Linked DNA regions of Rattus norvegicus. The protein of the gene in region 5 purifies or fractionates together with the protein of the main gene of each other region. This does not show direct contact. Links are inferred from orthologs where the notes say so. Each region holds a gene or a part of one and is shown on either strand. Other genes may lie near its edges. The genes, in order: Eif5, Eif3i, Mtor, Eif3d, Eif3b, Eif4g3 and Eif3g.

Region 1 (2,997 bases), on a different chromosome or scaffold from region 5:
CTCAAAAGGGCTCAAGGTCAGATAATGCTTGTTTACCTAGTATGCTCACTTTCCAGAACTACATGCAAAAACTGTCTCCCCCACTCACAGAAAGATTGCATTTTGTTGTATCCTTAAACTGAAATTTGGAACCATCCCAATTGTCTAGTCATAACTACCCTTCAATCTCTACTCCCTCTCCCCAGAGCAGCGCACACCTTTAGCTAGCACTAAGAGCAGCAGGCAGCTGAGTTCCAGACCAGCCAGGGACACACACACAAAACCCTATTCATGTGTGGCAGACCTGCAATACCCATTGACAACCAAGTACTCAATAACATTTTTTAGCATTTACCTCAATATTTTCATCTTCGTCTTCTTCCTCACCACCAGAAGATTCCTCCTCCGCTTCCTTCAACCATTTAATAAATGGCTCTGCTTTGACACGAATCTCTTTGGCAAGTTCTTTTGAGACATATTTCTTAGAGGCCTAAAAAAAGCCCAGAATTTTCTTGGTGAAGATTTGAAAAATGTAATTTAAGTCACATGTACAATGAATTAGCTATTTAAAGGGCTTGGTTCACACCCTAACCTTCAGTAGACAGAACACACATACACATTACCCAAGTATAGAATTCAACATCATAGAGAAAACTGCGTCTATTAGACACAACTTCCTCATAACATATGCCCCAATAGCCATTCTGATGCTTCTGAAGCATTTTAACATAACTTATGTGGTTCCTTACCTTTTCTGACCAGCTGATAATGACCTCTTCCTCTAAAAGGTCTGCATCATACATCTCCTTCAAGATATGTGGAATCTTGGAGATCAACTGAGCTTGATGCATTGCTACCACACATTCCAAACCATGAAGAAGGTACCGCTGGGCCTTTTTGTTGTTATGACAAAACTGCAGGTAGACAACATCAGCAATTATCTGCCTGTTCTATAATTCTTACCTATGTACATTCATTTTCTTAAAGCATAGAGTATGAAAGAGTAGCCCAAAAAAGTCAATGTACCCTTACCCTTTGCAGGTGCTCCCAGACTTGGTAAAGTGGGGATTATCTATTTTCAGGATAACAATAGTTGTCTGAAGCAATTTAAAGCCACAGTCCTAAGGTGACAATCAAGAATAATAAACCAAAATCTCTTACTCTTAAAAAATGGCGCCTGTATTTCTTGATTTGCTCTCTTATCTTCTCATCAAAGAGAACTTCTGTCAAAACGAGAGGGCCCATGGCTTTTACATCCAGTCTTTCTGCCTCAGCCACAATGTCTTTATCAGATGAATCAATAATGCCCTCTTCTTTCTTTTTCTGGAAATAAAGGATTATTTCAATATAAAATACAGGCATATTTTGCTATGTGTGAGAACAGTCCTTCTCCAGAATTTATACCCAATTTATCACAGTTCAACACCCATTGTACTACTTCTAGTACATTTCTTGCATAATCAAGGAAGTAAATACAAGCATTCCATTAATATTCAAAGAATGGTGTGGTGGGACATGCCTTTAATCTCAGCAGGCTCAGGTCTCTGAGAGCTTGAGGCTAGCCTGGTCTATCAAGTCCATGAAAGTCAGGGCTAGAGACCCTGAAAAAATGAATTCAAAGATACCAGAGAAAATGTTAACTATAAAAAGTTACCTTGGGGGGTTGGGGATTTAGCATAGTGGTAGAGCGCTTGCCTAGGAAGCGCAAGGCCCTGGGTTCGGTCCCCAGCTCCGAAAAAAAGAACAAAAAAAAAAAAAAAAAAAAAAAAAGTTACCTTAACAAAATCAAACAGGATGTTAACACGCTCTTCTACAGTTCTTTCCAAATCATCGCTAAGTGTCAGACCTTTTGCATGGTCACTGATTTCATCCATTCTGCGCCTTTGAGCTTCCTCAGTTGTATCCTCCCCCCAATCATCATCTTCCTCTTCTTCCTATTCACACAAAAGATCACAAAGGAATTAGTCATCTTGACAAGATCAAGCAAGCACCTTTGCCCACAAACCAGAAAATATTTATCTTTCACATCAGAGCAAACAAAAACAAAACAAAATGGCAAACAGGGAAAAAGGATCCTAAAAATAGTTTAGTTTAATTCAGTTTATCCACCAGCCAATAGCACAATGCTACAACTATATTAATACATTTAAAAATTTAACCAAATATCAGGGTTTTCAACACTATTTGAAGAACACTAAACTCACCACAGCATGTGGAGGACTAATTTCATTTGGTGGTGGAGGTGGTGGTGTCTCACTGGTGGATACAGAGCCATTTTCCTTGTCCTTGCCCTTTCTATTTTTCTTTTCTTTCTCTTTCTTTCCTGTACCAATGTCACTATTCTCTACAAGGAAGTAAGAGTTAGCTTACTTAGTCTCATGGTTTATGTATTACTATCAGACTTAAATTCCACCCTCTCACCATCGTAGTTCTCTGCAGAAAAAGCCAACATGATAAAACACAACTTCGAATTCTGGAGGGAGTGGCTGGTAAACAATAAAGAGGACTTGTTCCTGCATAAGAAGGAAGTTCAGGGGTTGGGGATTTCGCTCAGTGGTAGAGCGCTTGCCTAGGAAGCACAAGGCCCTGGGTTCGGTCCCCAGTTCCAAAAAAAAAAAAAAAAAGGAAGTTCAGATTCTCAGCACTCATATGGTAGCTCACAACCATCCATAACTCCAGTCAGTTCCAGGGGATTCATGCATGTGGTACAGACATACCCACACACAGAACACCCACACAAAAAAATACACTTCAATAAAACAACCCTGCATGCCTTTCATCCCAGCACTTGGGAGGCGGCAGCAAGCAGGTTATCTCTGAGTTAGAGGCCAACCTGGTCTACAGAGTAAGGTTCAGGACACCCAGAGATATTACAGAAAAACCCTGTCTTGCTTGAAAAAAACAAAAAAGAATTCTGAAGGTATTCAGACATCAAATAAATTCACTAACTACATTGTGCAGGCTATAAAATAAGGTGAAGCAGTACTGATACAGTATTGGAGCTATTAAAGATTAGGA
Region 2 (4,001 bases), on a different chromosome or scaffold from region 5:
AGAGAAACACAGTCAATGTACTCTATTGCCTTAAATATCCTCTCCCTCGTCCTGGCCAGTTCCCATCTTTCCTTGAGTGACAGTGTCACCCCTTCCAGGAAGCCCACTCCCTGTCCTCCAACTCCCATCTCTCTCAGAGTTCACACAGTACTTTATCTGTACCCCTCAGAGTGCTGCATATCTAGCTAGCTTACATCGGCAGCTATGGCTTGTAGGCAGTTCATTATAGCCTTCCTTAGGTACAACTCCAGGGCAAAGAAAGCTTCTGGAAATGCTCCAAATCGTTATATAATTGATAGGGTGACAATGACATTAAGAGCCTGGCCGTGGCAGCGCCTTTAATCCCAGCACTCGGGAGTCAGAGACAGGCTGATCCCTGAGTTCGAGGCTAGACTGTTCAGGATAGTCAGGGCTACACTGAGAAACACAGTCTCAAAAAAAAAAAAAAAAAAAAAGTCATAGATTGAACATGTACGCTGTACTAGGCCCAATGCTAAGTGTTTTGCGTCTTACCTCAATTCTTCTATCTGCCCTATACATGGGTTATCATTAAAATTTCCATTTTACGGATGATGAAACTGAGACTCACAGGGGATAAATGAGCTTCCAGGAGCTTCTAGTGAGTAGGAGGTGGGCTGAGAATCTGGCCGACCAGCGACCAAACACTCAGCGGCTCCTCCCGAGCGTACGCACCTCAGTATTCAAGAAGAGAGCCTTCATCTCCCCCACCAGCTGCCGGGCCCATGTCCGCTCATGCACCTGCTGCAAGCCGGAGGAGGCCCGCTTCAGCAGTGGCTGCGTGCCACCCCATAGTGCAGCCACCAGCACCAGAGCAAGCACCTGCCCTGAAAGCAAAGGGTCAGAAAGTCACCCCGGCCCTCTCCTGCTTCCTCCAGCCCGGCTGACCGGCTCCATCTCCCTCCCGCGCTCTCCGCGCCGGGCAGCGATAGGTCGGGAGGACCGGCCGGCAAAACGGCGGAAGTGAGACCGGGAGACCAGGGTGCGTGGTTTAGCATTCCTGCGATTCAGGGATGCCAGGGGAGTGAGAAGAGATTCTCCGAGTTGGAGAGTCGGAGCCCGCAGAGGGGCGGGGCCAGCTACCCACCCAAGGATGCCGCCATGGAAACGCCGGGCCCTTCTACTTCCGGGAGCGAGAGGGCGGAGTCCTCACATCCGGAAGTCGCCCCAGTCTTCTTCCGGTCCTACTCACATTGCCTCTCTCCTCGCGTCACCGCCAGGATGGTGAGTTCCAGGCACGCTGTGCTGCTGTCGGGGGTCCTCAGTAGACTTGGGACAGGGTTTCAGGCACTGACACTCCGGTTCTGTCCTCACAGAAGCCCATCCTGCTTCAGGGCCATGAGCGGTCCATCACGCAAATCAAGTACAACCGCGAAGGAGACCTCCTTTTCACTGTGGCCAAAGACCCCGTGAGCGACTGCGCGAGGGCGGGAGGGCCGGGCGGGGCACCGGGGGGAGCGAGTTCGCGCCGCCGGGACAGAGGGTGAGGTGAACAAGGTTTGCTGCCGGAGGGATATTTCTCTGAAAAGCAGGGAAAACCACCCATAACCGGAGTAGGGTAGCGACAGCATTCTGCCAGGAAAATCTGGAAGATGTTGGTGGATGAAAGGAAAGAGTACCCAGGGAGAAGAAAATTAAGAGATTGAAATTTAACCCTTCTAAACTACAGTTTTCCCTTTTAGTAAAACATGGAAGCTTTTAGTAGCTCCCCCAGCAAGTGAGGTCATTCTTCTAAATAGTTTTGCACCGCACCTCATGTATGTTAGTCGCTTATATTTTAAGGTTCATAGACATGGTTTTATTGGAGCGTCACAGCTGCCCTTTGAAGAAAGCTGTTAACAGGGGTGGGGTATCTATCCAAGCTGGCCTGAACCTCTCCATCTTCCTGCCTCAGCCTCCTGGTCTTAGGAATACAAATGTGTGCTACCACGTACAGCTCCTCCCAGTGCTTTAAAAAAAAAATTATATATATTTTGTGTGTGTGTAATCATTTTATTTTATGTGTATGGGTGCTTTCCTGCATGTGTGCGTCTGGTACCTGAGAAGGCCAGAAGATCCCCTGAAACTGCAGCTACAGATTGTTGGTATCGTGTGGGTGTTGGGAATCGAACCCATGTCGTCTGGAAGAGCAGCCAGTATTCTTTAAGCTCTGAGCCATCTCTTCAGCTCTCATAGCCATTTAAAGGAAAGAAGCCCTGTATTTAAGATGACAGGGTGAGCTAGTGACAAAGCACCAGAGCCCATGCGTCCTTACTGTCATCTGTAGTCAGCTGAACAGGACCTGAAAGATTTTTTTAGGCTGGAACTCAATCTTGTCTTGGACTCCTGAATCCAGACAAAAGCGTATGAGGGTGCTGTGGCAGGCCTGGCTCTTCTGCCGCTTATGTTAGGAACGGAGGAGAACCCAGGAGCTGGTCTTTTATCAGCTCTCTAATAAATGAGCAGAAGGCTGGCTTGGCTCGAGCCTACCGAGGGTTTGAGTGCAAGCTAAGCTATTGATCTTTCCGGGATGTGACCCGTCCTGTCATTTTACTCTTTCCAGATCGTCAATGTGTGGTATTCTGTCAATGGCGAGAGGCTAGGCACCTACATGGGCCACACTGGAGCTGTGTGGTGTGTGGATGCTGACTGTATCCTTTTTGCCTGCCGTGGGTCAGCCAGCCTTGGAGATGCTGGCTTTGAGGTTGTGGCTTTGGCATGCTATGGTGGTCTAGAGAATAACACTCTCTACTCCGGGGTGCTTCATCCTGTGGGAAACTAGGACACGTTCAGGTTCTGGAATTCAAAGGTCAGGTCGCTCTGAGGTAAAAGTGAGAAAGGCTCTTTGGGACGGAACTGGGAGATGGGGGCTAGGTGAACTGTTGTCATTTTCTTTTGTATGTATGTATATGTGTATGTGTGGTGAATCTGTGTGAACAAGTGCAGGGACGAATGGAGGCCAGAAGTCAGCATCTGGTCTTGTCTTAAGTTATTTGCAACCTTTTTTTTAACATTTTTTCTTTTCCCTAAAGATTAGTTCTATCTGTACGGGAGTTTTGCCTGCATATGTGTCTGTGCACCATGTGTGTGCAGTGCCAGCCATTTTCTTTAAAATGACAGAGGGCATCAGATCCCTTAGAACAGGAGTTACAGATGGTTGGGAGCCACCGTGTGGGTGATGGGAACCTAACCTGGGTCTTCCGGAAGAGCAGCCAATGCTCTAATCAATGAGCCACCTATCCCAGCTTTGTTTGTTGGGTTGGTTTTTGGTTTTTTGTTTGTTTTTGTTTTGGTTGGTCTGTTTTCAAGACAGGGTCTCACTATGATAGTGTTGACTCTCCTAGAAATCCCTGTAGACCAGGCTGGCCTCAGAGATCCACCTGTACCTGCTTCTCAAGGAAGGATTAAAGACATGTGCCACCACTGTCTGGCTCCAACTTGTGTTTTGAGACAAAAACAACTTTTCATTGAGTCTATAGCTCCCTGATTAGCTAGAATTGGCCAGCCAGTCACTGAACTTCCTGTCTTCATCTCTCAGCACGGGAATTGCAGCCACACTAAAGTCTCTCTGTGGGTGCTGGGGATCTGAACTGAGGTTCTCAGGTTTGCACAGAGCATTTTACCTGTTAAACGTCTCCCAGCCCTAGTCATTCTTTTTTTCTGTGTCTAGAAGTGATTTGCCTGGTGTTTGTATGTATGTGTGCTTGGTGCCCTTGAAAACCACACTTGGGCATTAGATCCCCCTGGAACTGGAGTTGGGAGCCACCATGTAGCTTCTGGGATTCTAACCTGGACCCTCTGGAAGAGCAGCCAGTGCTCTAACCACTCAGCATCTCTCCAGCCCAAGTCATGTTTCTTAACATCTTTCTCAGGGGACACCAAGCATGTCCTTACTGGCTCAGCTGACAACAGCTGTCGTCTCTGGGACTGTGAAACAGGTAAACCTGGGTTATTCACTTTTTAGCAAAAGTGGCCAACGACAGTTTACCTGTCTAAGCAAAGAC
Region 3 (3,500 bases), on a different chromosome or scaffold from region 5:
ACAACATTAAAATTTATAAAAATAAACCTTAAGAACAAACAACAACAACAACAACAACAACAACAACAACACAACAACAACCACCCCAGCCTGATTTAAGTCTAGCCATGAGGAACAAGCAGAAATCTGGCCTGCAGTTCCTTCCACAGCTGAGCTACAGAGCAATGCTGTCCCTTCCACGGGGCTATTCATTCTCTATATCCAGTGGGGATGAAGTAGACAACCGGACAGACCCAGCTAAACACTTAGGTGCCATGTTGGGAGAGGCAGTGTCAGTGCAAGCTGGGCGTGGCGTCAGGAAGCCGAGGCACAGATAAGTCTGCATGGTGCAGTGCAGCAGAGGTGAGCAGGGAAGGGTTTTTAAGTACTTACTTCCCGGATGGCCCCATCACAGACTCGGATGACGTTAAGGAACGTGGGCATGACCTGGGGCAGGAACTGCACACACTTGAGCCCCAGGGACTTGAAGATGAAGGTGATGGCCTGAACCACCATGGTGTGGTGGTGAGAGAGGGACTGGTCTCGGAAGATCCGCATCAAGGCCACCATGGACACGGCGGGGTAGAACTCGTCCAGTGGCAGGTTTCCCATGTTGACCAGCATTTCACTGGTGCTGTAGTCAGCTAGGACAAAGTGACAAAGAGAGTCATAAGTACTGGTGACAGGACTTTGATGAGAGGCTAAGCAGGCTAATAGCAAGCGAAGCCCCTCAGAGGCATTAGCACGCATACATTCTCTCTGCTACATTCTGACACTGCTGTGAGTATGGGACAAGTGGCTATTAGGAACCAATGAATAGGCTCTCCATGTCAGGAGCAAAACTCATTCTAGCTTTTCTATTACCCAAACCACCAAAGCCTAAAACAGTACATGATGGGTTTTCTTTAAATTACTAGGTTTAACCTAGCTTCTCAGCATTACAGTGCACAACTTCATAGTTGAAACCATCAATAAAATAATTACTCCTCCAAATGAAAGTAAAGGGAATTAAATTAGGCAAACATCTGTTCCACAGCTGGCTAGTCCCACAGGGAATACAGACAAGTTAGCAGGCATATGCCATACCCTGAACAGCAAGGACTCTGTCCTGGGAATGGTGGCGTGCAATGAGGAGGTAAGATGTGGGGCAGGAGAGGGGCTGGTTGGCAGGCGCTGCTGAGGAACCCTAGGTTCTGCTCTTGATGGCCAAGGTGCAAAGGTAAAAGCTTGCTACACTTCCTTAACCCAGAGGGGAGAAGGAAACAGATGGAGAAAACCGAACACTCACACCTAGAGAGATTGTAGTGAACAAACAGTTTCATCTTCTTAAGTCATCTTCTGCTACAGCACTGGGGAGACCCACTGCTGAACCTTCACCTCATAAACAGGCTTTTCCCAGTAGATGGTGGCCTAGAGCTCACATTCCATCCGCTTCCCCACATGCTCGTGCACTCGTCAAAAGGCAAGGGGTCTCTATTGTCAGACGAGATGCAAAGAGAGAGGGCCCAGGGTTTATGGGGGCTACTGGTCTTTCTATGTCCTGAATTCCCTCAATAAAACAGAGAAGACAAGAGTTATCCTTCCTCTCCACGAGGCCAGGGATGAAAGAAAAGAAATAAATAAAAAAGAAGCACTAACAAAGTGACAGGTGACAGTGGTGTCAGGGTAACTCCTATCTCTCCCTGCGGTCAAAAGTAACCTAGACTTAAGTTAGCCTGTTAACCCTGACAAGACCGTGGGTAGACACAGGACTTGGATACATCAGGTACAACATCCCTGCTAGGCAGACGCAGGGACTACAGGCTCTTCATGCACAAGTTGCCAAGAGATTCAGTCATCTGACCAATACTCTTTCTAAATATGGTCAGGAAGGGATGTGAGTCCAAGCTTGACAATACTCTCGTTCTAACTTACAGGAATCTTGACTTGACTTGGATTCTGACAGGCTGACAGCAGAAGCATCTCGGGACTGGTCAATCATGCCGATGTTCACTTTGTGCTTGTAGGGGTCCAAAGCCCCGAGGAGCCCTAACACTCGGATGGCCTGGGCAGGGAAGGAAAGAAGCAGCTAAGCATTTACCCCAACATCTGATTAAACAGGACTTGAAGGGTTGGGGATTTAGCTCAGTGGTAGAGCGCTTGCCTAGGAAGCGCAAGGCCCTGGGTTCGGTCCCCAACTCCGAAAAAAAGAACCAAAAAAAAAAAAAACAAAAAAAAAACAAAACAAAAAACAGGACTTGAGGTACAACTCTCCTGTTCTACACCCCACACCTCCCACATAAACGACCATTCCAACAACAGAGCAGAGACAGACAGGAAGTCCCGCCCAGTGTGGGTGGGTTACTGCCATGACTTCCTCTCTCAAGTCCCTGCAGGCCAGGTGTCTGCTGTGTACCTCTCTCCGAGTGCCCTGGTTCTGCTCCGTCTTCAGAAAATTCAGCAGCACTTCAAGCAGAGTGGGGTACTTCCTGTAGGGCTCCACCACGTAGCCAGTACTGGCCACCAACTGTCCCAGGGTCCACAAAGCCACCTGGGTGGACGAACAGCCACAGTTTGTTGAACCAGTACAGGAAAAGAAAGCACAGGCATTCTTTTTGTCCAATCGGAAGACTGTTAAGTCACAGACCATGAGTAGGAGTCCCAGAGTCAGGACACGCAAACAGCTGATCAAGCAGGAACCCACAGTCACTCCCTGACCCGGGGAGGCTGAAGCTGGAGGGCTGCCGATAGTCCAGTTCAAACTACACAGTAAGTAACCGGACTTACTTGTCGACTACAGAATGAGATGATGATGGCTCAAAAAGAATCAGAGAAAGAACTATACAGAATATTCTCAGAAGAAATGTGGTGCTTTCGTATCCTGAATGACTAACAGGAGCTACGGAAGGAAGTCAATACTGTTCTTCACTTTGGACTATTTCCCTAATAACCTCCAGTGGCTGGGAGGGTGAGGGGAAGCTGTCTGCCTCCATAATCAGTGTCCGAGCCTGCTTCCTCACTCGGGAGCCGGGGCTCTGACCAGTCAGGGCTCTGACGAGCGGACTGCATTTTCGTCCGTGCAGAGGAAGGGGCGATGCTTGGCCTAGATTGAACTGCAGATGATTGGTCAGGAGGACAGCCAAAGCTTGTTCTGAGATTCTGCCCTCTTTCCACACTCAAAGAAAATGTCAAGCTCTTACTGTCTGTCAACCTCTGCAAGAACTGACTGGTGACACTGTGGTGAACAGAGAAACTGGTCCCCGGTCCCCGGGGAGCCCAGCACACTCAGCGGCAGTGGCCCTCACCTGTCTTTTGGCCAGAAGAGAGGAGTCCTGCAGCATGTCCATGATGATGACAAAGAGCTCGTCCACCCACTTCCTCATCTCCAGGCCGCTAACCTGCAAACGAGAAGACAATGGCAGAGGGCTGAGACTGTGGGATGAAAACATTGTTTTAGGAGGGGTGTGGTGGCTCACACTTAGACATCCAAAACTCTAGAAGCTGAGGCAGGAGTTCTGGGAGTTTGAGGTCAGCCTAGGCAG
Region 4 (3,500 bases), on a different chromosome or scaffold from region 5:
TTCAGGGCACCACACACAGAGCCAGGGAGAAAGGACGTCGCCTGACCTTAAGGTCCTGCAGCACTGGAAATGGATAACGCAAAGAGGACTGTGTGTGCGTGTCTGTCCAGATCTTAGTCTTTGGAGGTCAGCAGTGACAGAACTGGATAAAGAGATCATGAGGTGGCAATGAGGCTGAGTAAAGAAAGAGGCCAGAGCTTCCAAAGATAAGGTGAGGTCAAGATCAGATGCACAGACCACAGGAGCCAATAGCCAGAATGAACAGACTAAAGTGCTTGAAGATAAAGGTAGAAACCTTAACTTAGACTGTTCTACTCTGTTGGCAGTGACGGAAACTTGAGATATCCCTGCACCCACAATGGTTGTGTGAGTACCCAAGAGCCAACCCCACTACACACTGCCGGAACACAACTGTGATGGTGCCTCACCCTGGAGTCCCATTCATTGAGTGTCTTGATGTTGATGAAGGACACTTCCCCGTTGGCCCCAGTCATGACGCCATCATGTTCACAGCGAACAATAAGGTCAATGTCATCTCCAAGCTTCCACCTCCGGTAACTAAGAAGACAGCAAGACTCATTCACTACAAGATCCACTGCCGTGGACGGACCATCCTGGACAGCACAGGACAGGTTCTGTGCTCTAATCTTGGTCAGACCCCCCCCAGAGCCGACATACCGGTAAGCCACGGAGGCGATCTCATTCTTATCCATGTCATCCTCCACAAATGGGTTTGGGTTGGGGAAATTGTATCTCTCTCTCCCCTGCAGAAGTGACAAAGCTTTCAGGAGCTGGGGTTGATAACAAGTGGGCAGACCCAGCATTGCTCTTGACAGCCCTGGCTAGGTGCTTCTGTCCTTGAGGGTGTAGGCTCACTATGTATCAAGGACCAAGCCTAACACACTCCACAGAGTAAGAGCCATCATGTTCCTTCCTGCTTCCCTCTCCACCACAAGCAGACTGCTGAGCTAACAGGAAAGCAAGCAATGCTCTTCATTCAATGTCATATCCTCAAGGCATGGAAAGGCCTTTTATCCAAAGGCATTCCACAGCCTGTCTATGTGACACAGGCATTATTAGTTACTCCATAGAGAGGAAATATGCCTGAGCACACAGACCTTTTTGTGGCTCCAATCCCTGCTACCAGGAGGAGTTGTGCCTGGCCAACCTCACACCACTGTCTAGCACAGAGCAGAGGCTCAGCAGCAGGACCTAACCCAGAAGCCAGTGCATCTGCTCCTGTGTACTCACCATTCTCAGGCACTGCTGGGAGAAGTTGTGGTTGATGTAGGTGGCCTCCATGGCCAGGTTCCGGGGTGAGTTGAAGGAATTGCCTTCATCTTGAGGGGGCTCGTTAGCCGTCTCACTCACAGTCAGGAGGTCTGGAAAAGCCCAAGCATGGATGTCACCCACTCAGGTAGCCAAGAGTCACTGGCAGTGTGCACAGCAGTATGGGTAGAGGTACGGACCTAGATCATAGGGGCCCATCTCCAAAGAACTGCCATCTGCTCACAGAGGATTCCCCCAGAATGTGGCATGCACAGGGAAGTGGAGGCTCACTGAAAACGTTAGGTGCGACCCAACAACACTGGTCACATAGTTCAGTTGTTCCTTCTCATTCTTTCTGGATTCCTCAAGAGAATGTGTCTCTCTTGGCATTTTAACAAATGAGGCTTGAGACTCAAACAGAATCAGACGGCTATAATTCTGTGAGTGATTCATTGACAGTGTGTATATACACATGTGTCATAAAATACACGCATATGCATTCTTCTTTATAGTACAGAGAGGAAGAGGAAACGGAGGACACTTCTATGCATATAGTAACTCACGGCCACAGTGGTGTGAGGACTCAGAGCTGAAGCCCACAGAAGCACCGAAGTGGTCTCTTTGAGTGGACGGGAGAGATCAAAACACTACTCATTCTTAAGTAATTATTCTGAACTGAAAACACCCATGCCTACCAAAGTCAGAATTGTCCCTCTTGTCAAAGAAGAGTTTAGATCCGACCCTCTGGACAACAATGTCCCAGGAGTACACGGAGCGGGTGCAGCTCATCAGTGTGGCCAGGATGGCATCTGTGGCAAACACATTGCCCTGCGTTTTTGCCAGCTGAAAGGAAGGAGAGAGACTAGAGTGAACTGAGGACTCTGAGGTCACTTGGGAAGGAAGATACCCCAGTCACCTGAGGAGGCTGCAGCAAATAGGCTGGGTGAGGCTCTCAGTCACTGCAGCAGGCTGTGGTGGATGCACGGGACACGCTCCACTCAGTAGGTGCCAGCCTAGCTATCCTTCTACCTTTGTATGTAAGAAAGCTAAGGCACCAGGGCAGCAAAGTCAGCCTGGCAGAGCTGGAATTTGAGCATGTCTCTTAACATATTTAAGTGCACCTAGCAACAAGTCTCATCTGTATGATTCAGAACCTCATCTAAGGCTTGGCTATGCACATAGTCAGCTGTTTCTGTGGGATCCACCAGTCCAACATGTCTACCACATGTTCAGGGGGAGAAAGTTTGCCTGATAAACACGTTCACCTTCTATCCGTCAGGTTCCTCAAATAACAGTGTAACAACTGCTTACGTAGTAGTAGCCAATGTCTAGGTGTTGTGAGCAACCCAGAAGGAACTGAAACACGGAAGGAAGATTGCTAGGGCTGACAGGTAAGTCACATCACCGGGACTGGAGCAGCCATGGCTTTTGGTACCTATGGGATGGTCCTGATTCAAACCCTGTGAATACTGAAGGACACCTGCACACCTCATGCCCTGTTCTTTCTCAAGCCTCAGCAACATTCCCAAAAGTGGGCAAAGGGTGCACACCTTCCGGATGACAGGGTCGTCTGTGGTGGTGACAGTGTGGAAGATGCGCTTGATGCTCCGCAGAGGCTTCTCACTCCTCGTGGTGATGCGGTCGAAGGCTTTGTCATAGTACTCCAGTGCTCCACAGCACTCGCTGAGGGGAGAGAGAAAAATCAGAGGTCCGCCCACCTCTTACGCCATGGAGTCAGAAGGCACATCTACTGTGCACGCCAGGCATTGCAGTGGTGCATGTCTATAATCCCAGGATTAGGGAGGCAGATGCAGGAGGATGCCAAGTTTAAATCTCAGCTACAAAGGGAGGCCCATCTCAGAAGTCCAGTACATAGGAAAGAGATGGAACTAATCTCTCTGAAAAAGAGACGAGAGGGCTGGAGAGATGGCTCAGGGGTTAAGAGCACTGGCTGCTCTTCCAGAGGTCCTGAGTTCAATTCCCAGCAACCACATGGTGGCTCACAACCATCTGTAATGAGATCTGGTGCCTTCTTCTACTGTGTCTGAAGACAGCTACAGTATATTCATATAAAATTAATAAAAAAGTATTAAAAAAAAAAGAGAGACAAACTCTAATGCTAGTTTAGCTTCCTGCTTTCTTAGCTCCCATGTTCCTCTGTAGAGCACAGTAAACCTTCCCTGGGGAACTGAGCCCACTATGGAAGCACGCACACGGGTGGACTTCTGGGT
Region 5 (3,500 bases):
AGAAATCCCGCAGGCAGGTTTGTCCACTTTCAGGCCCTTAAAGTGCTATCTTTATCTAGGACCTATCTTGGATAGCCTGCTTCTTCTGTGGGCCCTCAGGCTACAGTCACTCACTGCTGGGGACCTGGGAACCAAAACTTCACTGGCGCACTCCCCTCTGGGGTGGCCTGAACACACAAACCCCCAAGCCCCCAACTGCTGCTTCAGCAACCATCACACTCACCCTTTCGTCTTTCCATCCTCTTCAGGGTAATAGTCATTTATGATTTTCCCAAACTTGGAGAAGATCTTGTGGATGACATTTTTGAGCTTCTCAAGCCGGTCGGGTCCCACCTGAGGAACGTTGTCTACAACAATCACCGAGTCAATCCCATCCGCTTCCTGAGGCCGATCTTTGAGTACATCACCAAGTAGTTCTGAAGGAGTGAAGGAAATGTCAAGTGGTTTCTAGTTCAGCCGAGCAGCACTCATTCATTAGCCAGCAGGCTACTCATGTCTAAGAGGCATCTATCCCAAGTGCTTTCACGGTGAACAAAGACACCAGGACTTGGCTTCTAAGGAAGCGGATGCTCACCCTCCTTTAGATGGGAATATTCTCTAAATGGATCAAACTGCTGCTACAGGGGGTGTAAGCATGTAATCCCATCACTTTGAAGGTGGACGATGCCTGTGGATCGGAGCTCAAGGCCAGCTTGACCCTGCCTTAACCAGGTGGGAAGAACCCATTCCTCAAAGTTACCCTCTGACCCCCACAGCCATGTTCATACTCCACACGAAAACAATAACTGTAAAAATTACAAATTACAAAGGGCCACAGATAGAACAACAGTAGCACCCCAGCCTAACACAGAAGTAGCCCTGGGTTCAATCTCTAATACTGCTCAAAAGACAAACTTAAATGGCCTACTGCATGAATTTCTAGCCACTATCACTGTTTTTTATTCAATCTTTGCAGGGGTGGCTGCACACGCCCGCAACCCCAGCAAAATGCAGGAGGACCTAGAGCTCAAGGTCATCCTCAAGGCAAGGACAGCCTCCTAGTGGCCTACACAAGATCTTAGCTAAGAACAGTAAGCGACAGCTCAGCATTAAGAGCAGGTACCACGGTTGATGGTGGTGCCTTTAATCCCAGCACCTGGTAGGTAGAAGCAGGTGATATGAGTTTGAGACCATAGTCTGGTCTACACAGAGAAGCCATGTCTGGAAAAACCAACTGTCTCTCCTGCAGAGTACCTGAGTTCTGTTCCCAGTACCCATGTTGGACAGTTCACTCAACAGTCTGTTCAAGGGGACTGGACACCTCTGGCCTACAAGGGTACCTGTGCACACGCACACACACACACACACACACACACACACACACACACACACACACCCTTTAAAAACAGAAAAGAAACTTCAGCATGCTAAATCCCCTAAATGTCAACATACATCCTTTGGGCATTTCAGAAGTGAAAGGTGGGGCTGGACAGAGGGGCTAAGTCAGGGGAAAGTGCTTGCTGCCCACAAGCTGATTTATTTGCATTGTGACCTCCAATCACAGGACTTGGGCAGGCAGACCTCTGTGAATTCAAGAGCAGCCTGGTCTACAAAGTGATTTCTAGGACAGCCACAACTACACAGTTAAGACTCTGTCTCAAAAAAAAGCCACATCTATAATCCCGGCGTTATGAAGACAGAGTGTGCAGGATCTCAGGGGCTTTCTGCCTAACCAGTCTAGCTGCAATGGTGAGCTCCAGGTTCAATTTGAAACCCTATCTTAGGGGCTGGAGAGATGGCTCACTGGTTAAAGGCAATGACTGCTCTTCTAGAGGACCTGGGTTCAATTTCCAGCACCCACATGGCAGCTCACAGGGGCTGTAACTCCAGGATCTAACAACCTCACACATATATACAGATACTAAAAACATTTTTTAAAGGGGGAGCTGGGAAGTCATGGTGCCCACCTTTAATCCCTGTACTAGAGGGAGAGGCAGGTTAATCTCTGAGTTGGAGGTCAGCCTGATCTACAGAATTCTATAGAGTCAATTCCAAAAAGAGTAGTGAAGATCAAAAGAACACTCCTGACACAATCCTTAGGCCTACAGATGTCACCTTCACAAATACAGTACATGTACACAAGGAGAAAGGCGTGCTAAGCGGAAGGATGCTTCCATGCTCCCAGATCCAGATCTACACAAGAAGATCTGTTTAAAATACACAAGTCTGGCCCAGCTAATGCCCTTCATCCCAACTCAGAAGGCAGATAAGTCAGCAGATAAGTTCAAGACCAGCCTAGTGAGTTCCAGAACAGTCAGAGGCCGAGTCACAGTAAGACCTTGTCTCAGATAGAAAACATGGAAGCGGGGAGAGAGTGGGGAGACGGCTCGGCAGTTGAGATCACTTGTTATTCTTGCAGGACCAGAGTTCAGTTCCCAGCACCCACATGGTGGGTCACAACCAGCTACAACCCCAGTTCCAGAGAACCTAATGCCCTCTTCTGGCCTCCAAGGGCAAATGAATACTTGTGGTACACAGACATACATGCAGGCAAAACGTCCATAAACATATAAAATACAAAACTTATAATAAAATAAAAAATTAAAAGAAAAAAAAAAACCGCTGGAGATGGCTCAGCCATTTTCGAGCACTTTTGGCTCTTGCAGAGGACTGAGGCTCAATTCCCAACACCCACATGTTGGTTCACAGCCACTTGCAATAACTCTGGTTTCAAAGAATTTGATGCCCTCTTTTGGCCTCCACAAATACCAGTCACACATGTGCATAAACATGAATGCAGGCAAACATACATACGAAGTAAAATGTAAAAAAAAGGATACAAATAAATAATATGTTTAAACATAAAAGGCAATTCTGGGCCTGCAGGAAGGCTCAGGGTGTCACACACTAGTCACACAAGGCTGATGACCTGAGTGCAATCCCTGGAACCCATTGTGGAAGGAGAAAACCAACTCCTCAACACTGTCCTGACTGCTACACGAATGTCCAGCACCAGCTCACCAAATGACTTTTTTTAAGGGTCACTGTGGAAGGGCTGGGAGTATGGCTTGGTAGAACACTTGCTTAGCATGCACCAGGTCCTGGGTGCTACACAGGGAAAAGCAATGTGACAGACAGTCCTCTGCATTCTGTGCTGGCTAATTTTATGTCACCTTGACAACTAGAGTTATCTGGGAGCAGTAAACCTCACTTGAGAAAATGCCCCCACCAGACTCGCCTGCAGGCAAGTTTGTGGGTTGGTTTTTTGACTGCACACTGGTATTCGAGAACACAACTCACTGTGGGCAGGGCCATCCAGGCTGTCCCTGAATGGTCTAAGAGAGCAGGCCGAGCGAGCCATAAGGAGCAGGGCAGCGGCAGCAGTCCTCATGGCCTGCCTCTACATCTGCTCCTGCCCTCACTTCCTTGGATAATGGACCTTGGATAAGTTGCTTTTGTCACAGCAAAAGAAACCTAATTAAGCAAGACACATTGCAAAGATGCCAAAATCAATGACAGGC
Region 6 (3,500 bases), on a different chromosome or scaffold from region 5:
ACAAGTTTGAGGCAGCCTAGACTGTAGAGTGAGACTCTTTATAATAAAGACAAAAAATAAAACTACATGAAAAAAAGAAAATTTGATTTCTTAGCCAGAAATCATGGTGGTTTTATTACTTGCAGCCGCGCATGGACCAGTACTTTAACCAGATGGAGAAAATTGTCAAAGAAAGGAAAACTTCCTCCCGGATTCGGTTCATGCTTCAGGATGTAATTGACCTCAGGCTGGTAAGTTAGGTTTTATCAATAAATACCATGACCAAAACCATTTGGGAAGGGGAGGGTTTCTTTCAGTTTACAGTTTTACAACACAGAAGGCAGGGACTGAAAAGGCGGCCATGAAGGAGTGCTGCTTACCGGCTTACTCAGCCTTCTTTTTCACACAGCTCAGGACCACATCCATTAATCAAGGAAATGCCCTACAGACTGTCTAGTCAGTCTGGGTGGAGGCATATTCTCAATTGAGAGTCTTCTTCGGATAACTCCAGCTCATGTCAAGGTGACAAAAGGTGGTAGGGAAGGGAAATCAGATAGACTTGAGTGAAAAAGTCGGTGGTGTTTGTTGGGGTGGCAAGCTCTTTTGCTTCATGCCCAGCACTGAAGTGACGGGAAGAAGGTGCTGCCTGACTTGTCCTTTCCCAGTTACCTCACCACACTGCCGCTCTGACATTGCCCCTCTGAGTTCAGTACTGGTCAGTGAGACCCGGGCTTTCTAAACTGAACAGCGGAGTCTCGTCTCCACAGTGAACATGTTGAGCTCATAGCCATGTGATCTCTACAGTGCTATTGCCATCCTCTGCCCTTACATACTCGGTGACATAACTATGTACATTGACACTCGTGGATGTTGCTATTCCGCACTGTCTGCCTCAGCTGGAAGGTCATCCCTCACTGCCCTCAGTCCTCAGGGCACCTAGGAGGCTGCTTTGTCTTGTCAGACCCCAGGTGTGACCTTAATAGCAAAAGCTGTGACCTGTTGCTCAGAGCTCCCTCACAAGGCAAACTCAACCCAGTTTCCACCCACGTCTCCACCACGTTTGCTCATTTCAGCCATCAGAAGGGAGGCTGGGATGGAGTGAGGCAAGTTTTGTCTCCTGAGAAGAGAGAAGCAACCTTGCGTGGCATTCTAGGGAGGGTACCAGAGTCATATTAAAGGAATAAAAGTGGTTGTCACCTTTGATTTAGAGACCCTGTGAACTATGACATGAATTGAGTATTAACCCCTCATGTCACACAGTCCTGGAGAATCTTCCTTCTTCCCAACCCACCGCCTTTCCCTTCTGTGTCGGCAGTGTTGGCAGCTGCATTGCACACTTTTTTATTTATTATGTATACATCATACAGCTTTCTGCCTGCATGTATGCCTGCAGGCCAGAAGAGGGCACCAGACCTGATTATAGATGGTTGTGAGCCACCATGTGGTTGCTGGGAATTGAACTCAGGACCTCTGGAAGAGCAGTCAGTGCTCTTAACCTCTGAGCCATCTCTCTAGCCCCCTAGACACTCTTTCCTTCTGACTTTTACCCTCCACTTGTTGGAATGGGCACTGCACACCCCGCCGTAGTTGTTTCCTTAGCTTGAAACCATAAAGCACACCTGTCATCCTCAGCCAGCTGGGGTACTGGCATGCCTCTCCCTTTGGTAGGTATTTTATATGGTTGCCACACTGGAAAGTATATGTTTTGTCTTTTTGCCGGGACAGGGGCTATTAACAGGTTTCTCTGTATAGCCCTGGATATCCTGTAGACCAGACTGGCTTCAAATTCATAGAGGTCTGCCTTCCTCTGCCTCCTGAGTGCTAGGACTAAAGGTGTGTGCCACACTGCCCAGCAAATGTATAGGCTTTTAATTTATTTTTATTTGGAAAATTATATTGTTATTATGTATGTGGTGCTGAGGACCAAAGGCAGAACCTCGCACATGGTAGGCATTTACCAACCTAGATGCCCCACCCTTTCTGTAAAATTCTGTGACTTGACTCTCAATCTTATTCTGTTTTCATAGTGTAATTGGGTGTCCCGAAGAGCAGATCAGGGGCCAAAGACTATCGAGCAGATTCACAAAGAGGCCAAAATAGAAGAACAAGAGGAGCAAAGGAAAGTCCAGCAGCTGATGACCAAGGAGAAGAGAAGACCAGGTGAGGCAGCGGGGCTGGAGTTGGGTGCAGGGTGCGGGACTGTTAGGTCGGTGCTGCAGATGAGATTACCAAGACACCTGAGAATAACCGTGGAGTAAGAATGTACAATGGAGGGGTGTGTCGACTGTCTGAGCCAGTAAGAGAAGCGAGTGAAAGTAGCTCTTGAAACTGATGGCTGGACCCCTCCAGGACACATTGCCAGTAAATGCATGGGGTGTCCTCAGTTGAGATGTATTCTCCATTACGGTTGTAAAAATGTAGACTTAAGAATGGTGGCACAGGGGCTGGAGAGATGGCTTAGAGGCTAAGAGCACCAGTTACTCTTCCTGAGGACTCTGGTTCGATTCCCAACACCCTCCTGGCAGTTCACAACCATCTGTAAGATCAGTTCTGTGGGGATTGGGGATTTAGCTCAGTGGTAGAGCGCTTGCCTAGGAAGCGCAAGGCCCTGGGTTCGGTCCCCAGCTCCGAAAAAAAGAACCAAAAAAAAAAAAAAAAAAAAAAAAAGATCAGTTCTGTGGAATCTGACACCATCACACAGACACACGCACGTAAAACACCAATGCACATTTTTTTTAAAAAAACTAAAAAAGAAACAAATCATAAGAAAGGAAGGAAGAAAGCGGTGAAGTTTTAGAGGAGGAGAGAGATGAGAAGAGGAAGAAGCCTTTCTGTGAAGGAGGCCTGACCTGGCCGAGAGGCTGGTGTTTGAAAGGACTTCACCCGTGTAGTGGAGAATGACCAGCCCTAATTGGGGTGTGTGTCACCTCACAGTTTGGATGGACGATGCTGGAAGAACTGAGACCAAGTGCTTGGTTTTGGTTTCTGCCAGTCTCAAGTGTGACGTGTCGCACACTCAGGAGTGTCCATCACGTCACGGGTCGTGTGCTGGTAGCAGTAAACAAACCGAAGTACAGGGTAGCCTTTACCCAGCTGTCTTCAGGGAACACTTTAGAGGAAGAAATGTAGGGACTGCGGGCTTAGGAAAGAGAGGTTGCATTTTTTTAAGTTTTTTATTACATGGCATGCCATGGAGGTCAGAGATCAGTTTGAAGGAGCCTGTTTTCTCCTTATACCATGTTTGTCCCAGGATCGAACTCAGGTCACCAGGCCTGACAGCAACTGCTGCTGCCCGCTGAGCAATCTTAGCATCGCAGAGGTTTTTAAGCAGGAAGCTTGGAGAGCCTTTTCTTGTTGGTGCTGGTGAGCCAGCCTGAAGCAGGTGAGGGCGGGAAGCCCTGTGCACATCTTTGGAAGGAGGGGTTTGGAGCAAAGAGGATGCACAGAGGCCCTGCAGCAGTGCTGCGATCGGAAACAGGAGTCTGGTTAAAACTCTGCCTGTATGGAAAAGGAAGGGTTAC
Region 7 (4,131 bases), on a different chromosome or scaffold from region 5:
AGTTGAATACCCCAACCATTGGGAGCAGGGTAAGTGTACAACAAAGACATGATCCCAAGGAAATCTGCCTATCCCTAAATCCTGATTGGTGAAATAACTTGGCACAGATGTTTGTGGATTTGGGGCTTAACAACCCTGCAGGATCTTAGCTTGGGGTTCAGTCCCTGAATCTGGAGTGTGACCTTGGTCAACCAGTCCTGGGATGTACGCTAAATAAACTGTCCGTGTCTGTCAGAGATTGGTGTTCATGTGGTTTGTGAAGCGATTCATTGACCCCAACAGGAGGCCAAGACTGCGGGCCTGAGCTGCAGGACCCACATAGTGGAAGGAGAGGCCTCCTGCAAAGTGTCCCCTGACCTCCACACGTGTACTGTGCATAAGGGTTTGTGAGTGCACAAGCACGGTGTCTTCAAACACAGTACAAACACACACGCAAGTTTGCATGATAAAACCTAGCATGCGTCACAGAAAAGGAAGCACAGGAGACCAGGTGGTCTGAGTCTATATCTTCTTCAACAAACCAGAGTCCTGGTATCATCCAAACAACACAAATCAAGGGCATTCTTTTTTTTTTTTTTTTTTTTGGTTCTTTTTTTTTTTTTTTAAGGGCATTCTTGATACATGTGCTTTTCCCCCAGGCTTGTTGGTATAATGCCAGTTATTTGTCAATTGCTTGCATTCGGGAGTTCAGGGGCAAGCCTGGGGAACAAAGTAAGGGTTTTAGTTTTGGATACAGAGTCTCATGTAGCACAGGCTAGCCTGGAATCCAAAAAGTAGCTGAAATGGCCTTCAACTCATGATTTTCCAGCTTCCACCTCTAACACTGGGTGATAATTAAAACTAATTCTCCAAGAGGAGGGAGAGAACGAATCAGTTTCCAGTGTGGTGGTTTCATGTTCGTATTCCCGGCACTTGCTAGAATGAGGTGGAAAGATTCAAGGCTAGCTGGGGTACATACACCACAAGGTTCAGGACAGCCTCGTATTCAAGGCCACCCTGGGAATGATGTTCATGAGCGTTTTGGAGTTGAGACAGAAGGATTGTGGGGAGTTACTGATTATCCTAGCTATAGAGTGAGACACTGACATCTAGTTCCATCAGCCTAAAGAGGGAGTAAAAAGTTTAAAACGCTCTTAGAAGCTCTTTTCTAGACCCCCTTTCCAGGTTGGATGCCAGCGCTTTGCGGCACGCAAAACATGCATGTCCACATTTGTCCACAGGGAGGCGCTGTGGTCACCGCGGTCTGGCCGCTCTAGGCAGCGGCCACAGCACCGGAAGCCTCTTCTACACGGGCTTCCGGTCTTTACCCGGGCTGAGAGCTGCGTGGAGTAGGACTTCGAGATGCCGACTGGCGACTTTGAGTAAGTGTTCGGTGGCGGTGGGGGTCGCCAGAGAGGCCGAGTGGGGGCAGCTCTGGGGTGTATGGTGGTCCAGGTAGCGCGGGGCCCGGGACCCGCTCACCGATCTCCTGTCCCCGCAGCTCGAAGCCCAGCTGGGCCGACCAGGTGGAAGAGGAGGGAGAGGACGGTGAGTGCTTGTGCGCGGCCCCGCCCGCTGCGAGACCCGGATGCCCACGCACAGGCTAGGGCCGCTTGTGGCCAGTCCCACCCTCGCTTTGCGCTCTGCCCCTGGAGCGGTCCCCCACCCCAACCCCCGCCATTGGCTTGAAAGTTCCAGCGCTGTGGCTCACTTACCTTCCTCCCCGAATTCCCTCCGGCAGACAAGTGTGTCACCAGCGAGCTCCTGAAAGGAATCCCTCTGCCCACCGGTGACACCAGTCCAGAGCCGGAGTTACTTCCTGGAGGTGAGCACCGTCCATCCCTGCCTTCTTCTCCCTTCTCCCTTCCGATTCTCAAGCCTACTTTCCAGCCAGTCCCATTACCCAGGAGTTAGTTTCTGTGATCTTCCTCCAGACCCACTGCCACCTCCCAAGGAAGTCATCAATGGGAACATAAAGACGGTGACTGAGTACAAGGTAGAGGAAGATGGGAAGAAGTTCAAGGTAAGGGTGAGGTGGGCATATGTGGTCAGCGTGACTTGTTCAGGGGCTCTTAGATCGGTGGTGAAGAGTGTCAGTGTTGCTTTGGATGGCTGAGGCAGGCCTGAGACTCGGGAAGCACTCCTAACTCTTTCCCACCTTCAGATTGTCAGAACCTTCAGAATTGAGACCCGGAAGGCATCAAAGGCTGTGGCCAGGAGGAAGGTGAGAGTGTACTTATTTGGGGGATGGGGGTGTTCCCCAGGACTGACCAGAGGACTTAGGAAGCCCCTTTTTGTTGATGTAGAATAAAAGTTTAGTGTTAGGCCTTGAAAGTTTAGGACCCAGGAGTAGATGAAGTTAAGATTTTTTTTTCTTCTCCTTTTGTGCGCAGGTGTGCGCACTTTTGGTTTGAGATGGTCTCTTTATATTAGAAACTAGACTGGGCTTGCTGTTCCCACATAAGTACATGCCTCTGATCTCAGATCTTCATTGGGATCAACTCTGATGGGCACTTCTGTGACAAATACTGTACTGAGACATATCCAGCCCTCTTGGTTTTTCTGTTTGTAGTTTGTCTGTTTTTTCCAGACAGGGTTTCTCTGTAGCTCTAGCTGTTCTGAACTCTCTGTAGACCAGGCTGACCATGAACTCAGAGGTCCACCTGCCTTTACCCCAGACTTAGGATTTAAGGCACTGCCACCACTTCCTGGCTTGTTATTTTTGAGAGACTTTAGCTCTACAGTCTTCATTCAGAATGCTTCTGCCTCCCGAGTCCCCACTTAGATTCTTCCTCCTTTGTCTACATGAAGAAGCGAGCAGCCTCTACTTACCAAGGGGGCAAGGGCGTCTAGCCGGGGCAGCACTGCCTGAGAGCAAGCACCCCTCCCCCCCAAGTCATCTAGCTCGACATGGCTTCTCAATCCCCACGCCAGTTTAGGGAGGCAGGGGGCTTTGTGGCCCCCATGTTACAGGAAGGAAATGAACCTCAGGTCTAACTAGCTCAAGGTTCCTAAGATCTGGGGATTCCTCCTTCATTCCTGATGGGAGCTGGGCTACTGACCTGCCCAGAAACTGCAGTGGCACAGTTGAGCCCCATGCTCAACTTTTTGTGTGACTTTGGGATCAAGCTCAGGTTGTTACAAGTACAACAAGTAAACTGCACCTTTTCACACTGAGCTACGGCACCAGCACCTTTTCCTTTTCTTTTTTTTTTTTTTTTTTTTTTTTTTTTTTGGTTCTTTTTTTCGGAGCTGGGGACCGAACCCAGGGCCTTGCGCTTCCTAGGTAAGCGCTCTACCACTGAGCTAAGTCCCCAGCCCCCTTTTCCTTTTCTTATGTATTTATTCATTCATTTAGATGGGGCCTCATACAGCTCAAGCTGGTTTAGAGCTTGTGTCTCAGGATGGCCTGCAGCTCAGGATCCTCCTGTTTGCACCTGGCAGATGTTGGAGTGATGTCATGTGCCGCCATGTCTATCTTAGGAAGTGGGTATTGTCACTGTTACCACACGGAAGGCCTCTAGGGAAACTAGAACATAGGAGTCAAAGCCCCGGAATGGTTGTCTGTCTGGGGTGCTGCACTGTGGGATCCTTCCTGCCTTCATCCTCACCTCCCCATCTTTTCCTGGGAGCCCAGAATTGGAAGAAGTTTGGCAACTCAGAGTTTGACCCGCCAGGGCCCAATGTAGCCACTACCACAGTCAGTGATGACGTCTCCATGACATTCATCACTAGCAAAGAGGTGAGCAGGGTGAAACTGGAACCTGAGAAACGCAGAGGGAGTGGGGTGGGTAGGACATAGCAGCCCCTTCTGAGCCATCCCTTCCCCACCAGGACCTGAACTGCCAGGAGGAGGAGGACCCAATGAACAAGCTCAAGGGCCAGAAGATCGTGTCCTGCCGCATTTGCAAGGGCGACCATTGGACCACCCGCTGCCCCTACAAGGACACACTAGGACCCATGCAGAAGGAGCTGGCTGAGCAGCTGGGCCTGTCTACCGGGGAGAAGGAGAAATTGCCAGGAGGTGTGGGCATGGGGCGCCTGGGAGGGGCCTCAGCTGTTCCTTTTGTAGTGTACTGTTTTCTTTCCCTATATCACCTAGGGACAACTTTGGGCATGGTGGTCATTCTGATGCAAGTGTGACTGATGACT

Evidence for each region.
Region 1: the proteins of Eif3b (region 5) and Eif5 fractionate together in Homo sapiens (co-fractionation; 3 studies listed by BioGRID and IntAct, with this or other methods). This does not show direct contact. The link is inferred for Rattus norvegicus from reciprocal best matches to the Homo sapiens genes EIF3B and EIF5.
Region 2: the proteins of Eif3b (region 5) and Eif3i purify together in Homo sapiens (affinity purification with mass spectrometry; 12 studies listed by BioGRID and IntAct, counting the BioPlex papers as one, with this or other methods). This does not show direct contact. The link is inferred for Rattus norvegicus from reciprocal best matches to the Homo sapiens genes EIF3B and EIF3I.
Region 3: the proteins of Eif3b (region 5) and Mtor purify together in Homo sapiens (affinity purification with western blotting; 3 studies listed by BioGRID and IntAct, with this or other methods). This does not show direct contact. The link is inferred for Rattus norvegicus from reciprocal best matches to the Homo sapiens genes EIF3B and MTOR.
Region 4: the proteins of Eif3b (region 5) and Eif3d purify together in Homo sapiens (affinity purification with mass spectrometry; 10 studies listed by BioGRID and IntAct, with this or other methods). This does not show direct contact. The link is inferred for Rattus norvegicus from reciprocal best matches to the Homo sapiens genes EIF3B and EIF3D.
Region 6: the proteins of Eif3b (region 5) and Eif4g3 purify together in Homo sapiens (affinity purification with mass spectrometry; 3 studies listed by BioGRID and IntAct, with this or other methods). This does not show direct contact. The link is inferred for Rattus norvegicus from reciprocal best matches to the Homo sapiens genes EIF3B and EIF4G3.
Region 7: the proteins of Eif3b (region 5) and Eif3g purify together in Homo sapiens (affinity purification with mass spectrometry; 12 studies listed by BioGRID and IntAct, counting the BioPlex papers as one, with this or other methods). This does not show direct contact. The link is inferred for Rattus norvegicus from reciprocal best matches to the Homo sapiens genes EIF3B and EIF3G.

What each region holds. Positions count from the first base shown.
Region 1 is NC_086024.1:136,413,333-136,416,329, reverse strand, and holds part of Eif5 (eukaryotic translation initiation factor 5), read right to left. Parts: intron 2,324-2,997; coding exon 2,184-2,323; intron 1,914-2,183; coding exon 1,755-1,913; intron 1,303-1,754; coding exon 1,141-1,302; intron 894-1,140; coding exon 729-893; intron 470-728; coding exon 335-469; intron 1-334.
Region 2 is NC_086023.1:147,224,111-147,228,111, reverse strand, and holds the start of Eif3i (eukaryotic translation initiation factor 3 subunit I), read left to right. Parts: upstream 1-1,201; 5' UTR 1,202-1,239; coding exon 1,240-1,242; intron 1,243-1,334; coding exon 1,335-1,427; intron 1,428-2,560; coding exon 2,561-2,648; intron 2,649-3,869; coding exon 3,870-3,935; intron 3,936-4,001. Other genes in the region: Tmem234 (transmembrane protein 234), read right to left, coding at 694-845, 1,106-1,121. UniProt on the Homo sapiens protein: Component of the eukaryotic translation initiation factor 3 (eIF-3) complex, which is required for several steps in the initiation of protein synthesis.
Region 3 is NC_086023.1:164,188,485-164,191,984, reverse strand, and holds part of Mtor (serine/threonine-protein kinase mTOR), read right to left. Parts: intron 3,357-3,500; coding exon 3,264-3,356; intron 2,510-3,263; coding exon 2,375-2,509; intron 2,024-2,374; coding exon 1,894-2,023; intron 624-1,893; coding exon 373-623; intron 1-372. UniProt on the Homo sapiens protein: Serine/threonine protein kinase which is a central regulator of cellular metabolism, growth and survival in response to hormones, growth factors, nutrients, energy and stress signals.
Region 4 is NC_086025.1:111,422,741-111,426,240, forward strand, and holds part of Eif3d (eukaryotic translation initiation factor 3 subunit D), read right to left. Parts: intron 2,953-3,500; coding exon 2,820-2,952; intron 2,113-2,819; coding exon 1,965-2,112; intron 1,383-1,964; coding exon 1,252-1,382; intron 765-1,251; coding exon 679-764; intron 559-678; coding exon 429-558; intron 1-428. UniProt on the Homo sapiens protein: mRNA cap-binding component of the eukaryotic translation initiation factor 3 (eIF-3) complex, a complex required for several steps in the initiation of protein synthesis of a specialized repertoire of mRNAs.
Region 5 is NC_086030.1:19,328,269-19,331,768, forward strand, and holds part of Eif3b (eukaryotic translation initiation factor 3 subunit B), read right to left. Parts: intron 417-3,500; coding exon 224-416; intron 1-223.
Region 6 is NC_086023.1:155,669,878-155,673,377, forward strand, and holds part of Eif4g3 (eukaryotic translation initiation factor 4 gamma 3), read left to right. Parts: intron 1-125; coding exon 126-230; intron 231-2,006; coding exon 2,007-2,139; intron 2,140-3,500. UniProt on the Homo sapiens protein: Component of the protein complex eIF4F, which is involved in the recognition of the mRNA cap, ATP-dependent unwinding of 5'-terminal secondary structure and recruitment of mRNA to the ribosome. Functional homolog of EIF4G1.
Region 7 is NC_086026.1:27,707,147-27,711,277, reverse strand, and holds the start of Eif3g (eukaryotic translation initiation factor 3 subunit G), read left to right. Parts: upstream 1-1,331; 5' UTR 1,332-1,341; coding exon 1,342-1,361; intron 1,362-1,480; coding exon 1,481-1,527; intron 1,528-1,720; coding exon 1,721-1,804; intron 1,805-1,913; coding exon 1,914-2,002; intron 2,003-2,143; coding exon 2,144-2,203; intron 2,204-3,616; coding exon 3,617-3,721; intron 3,722-3,813; coding exon 3,814-4,003; intron 4,004-4,131. UniProt on the Homo sapiens protein: RNA-binding component of the eukaryotic translation initiation factor 3 (eIF-3) complex, which is required for several steps in the initiation of protein synthesis.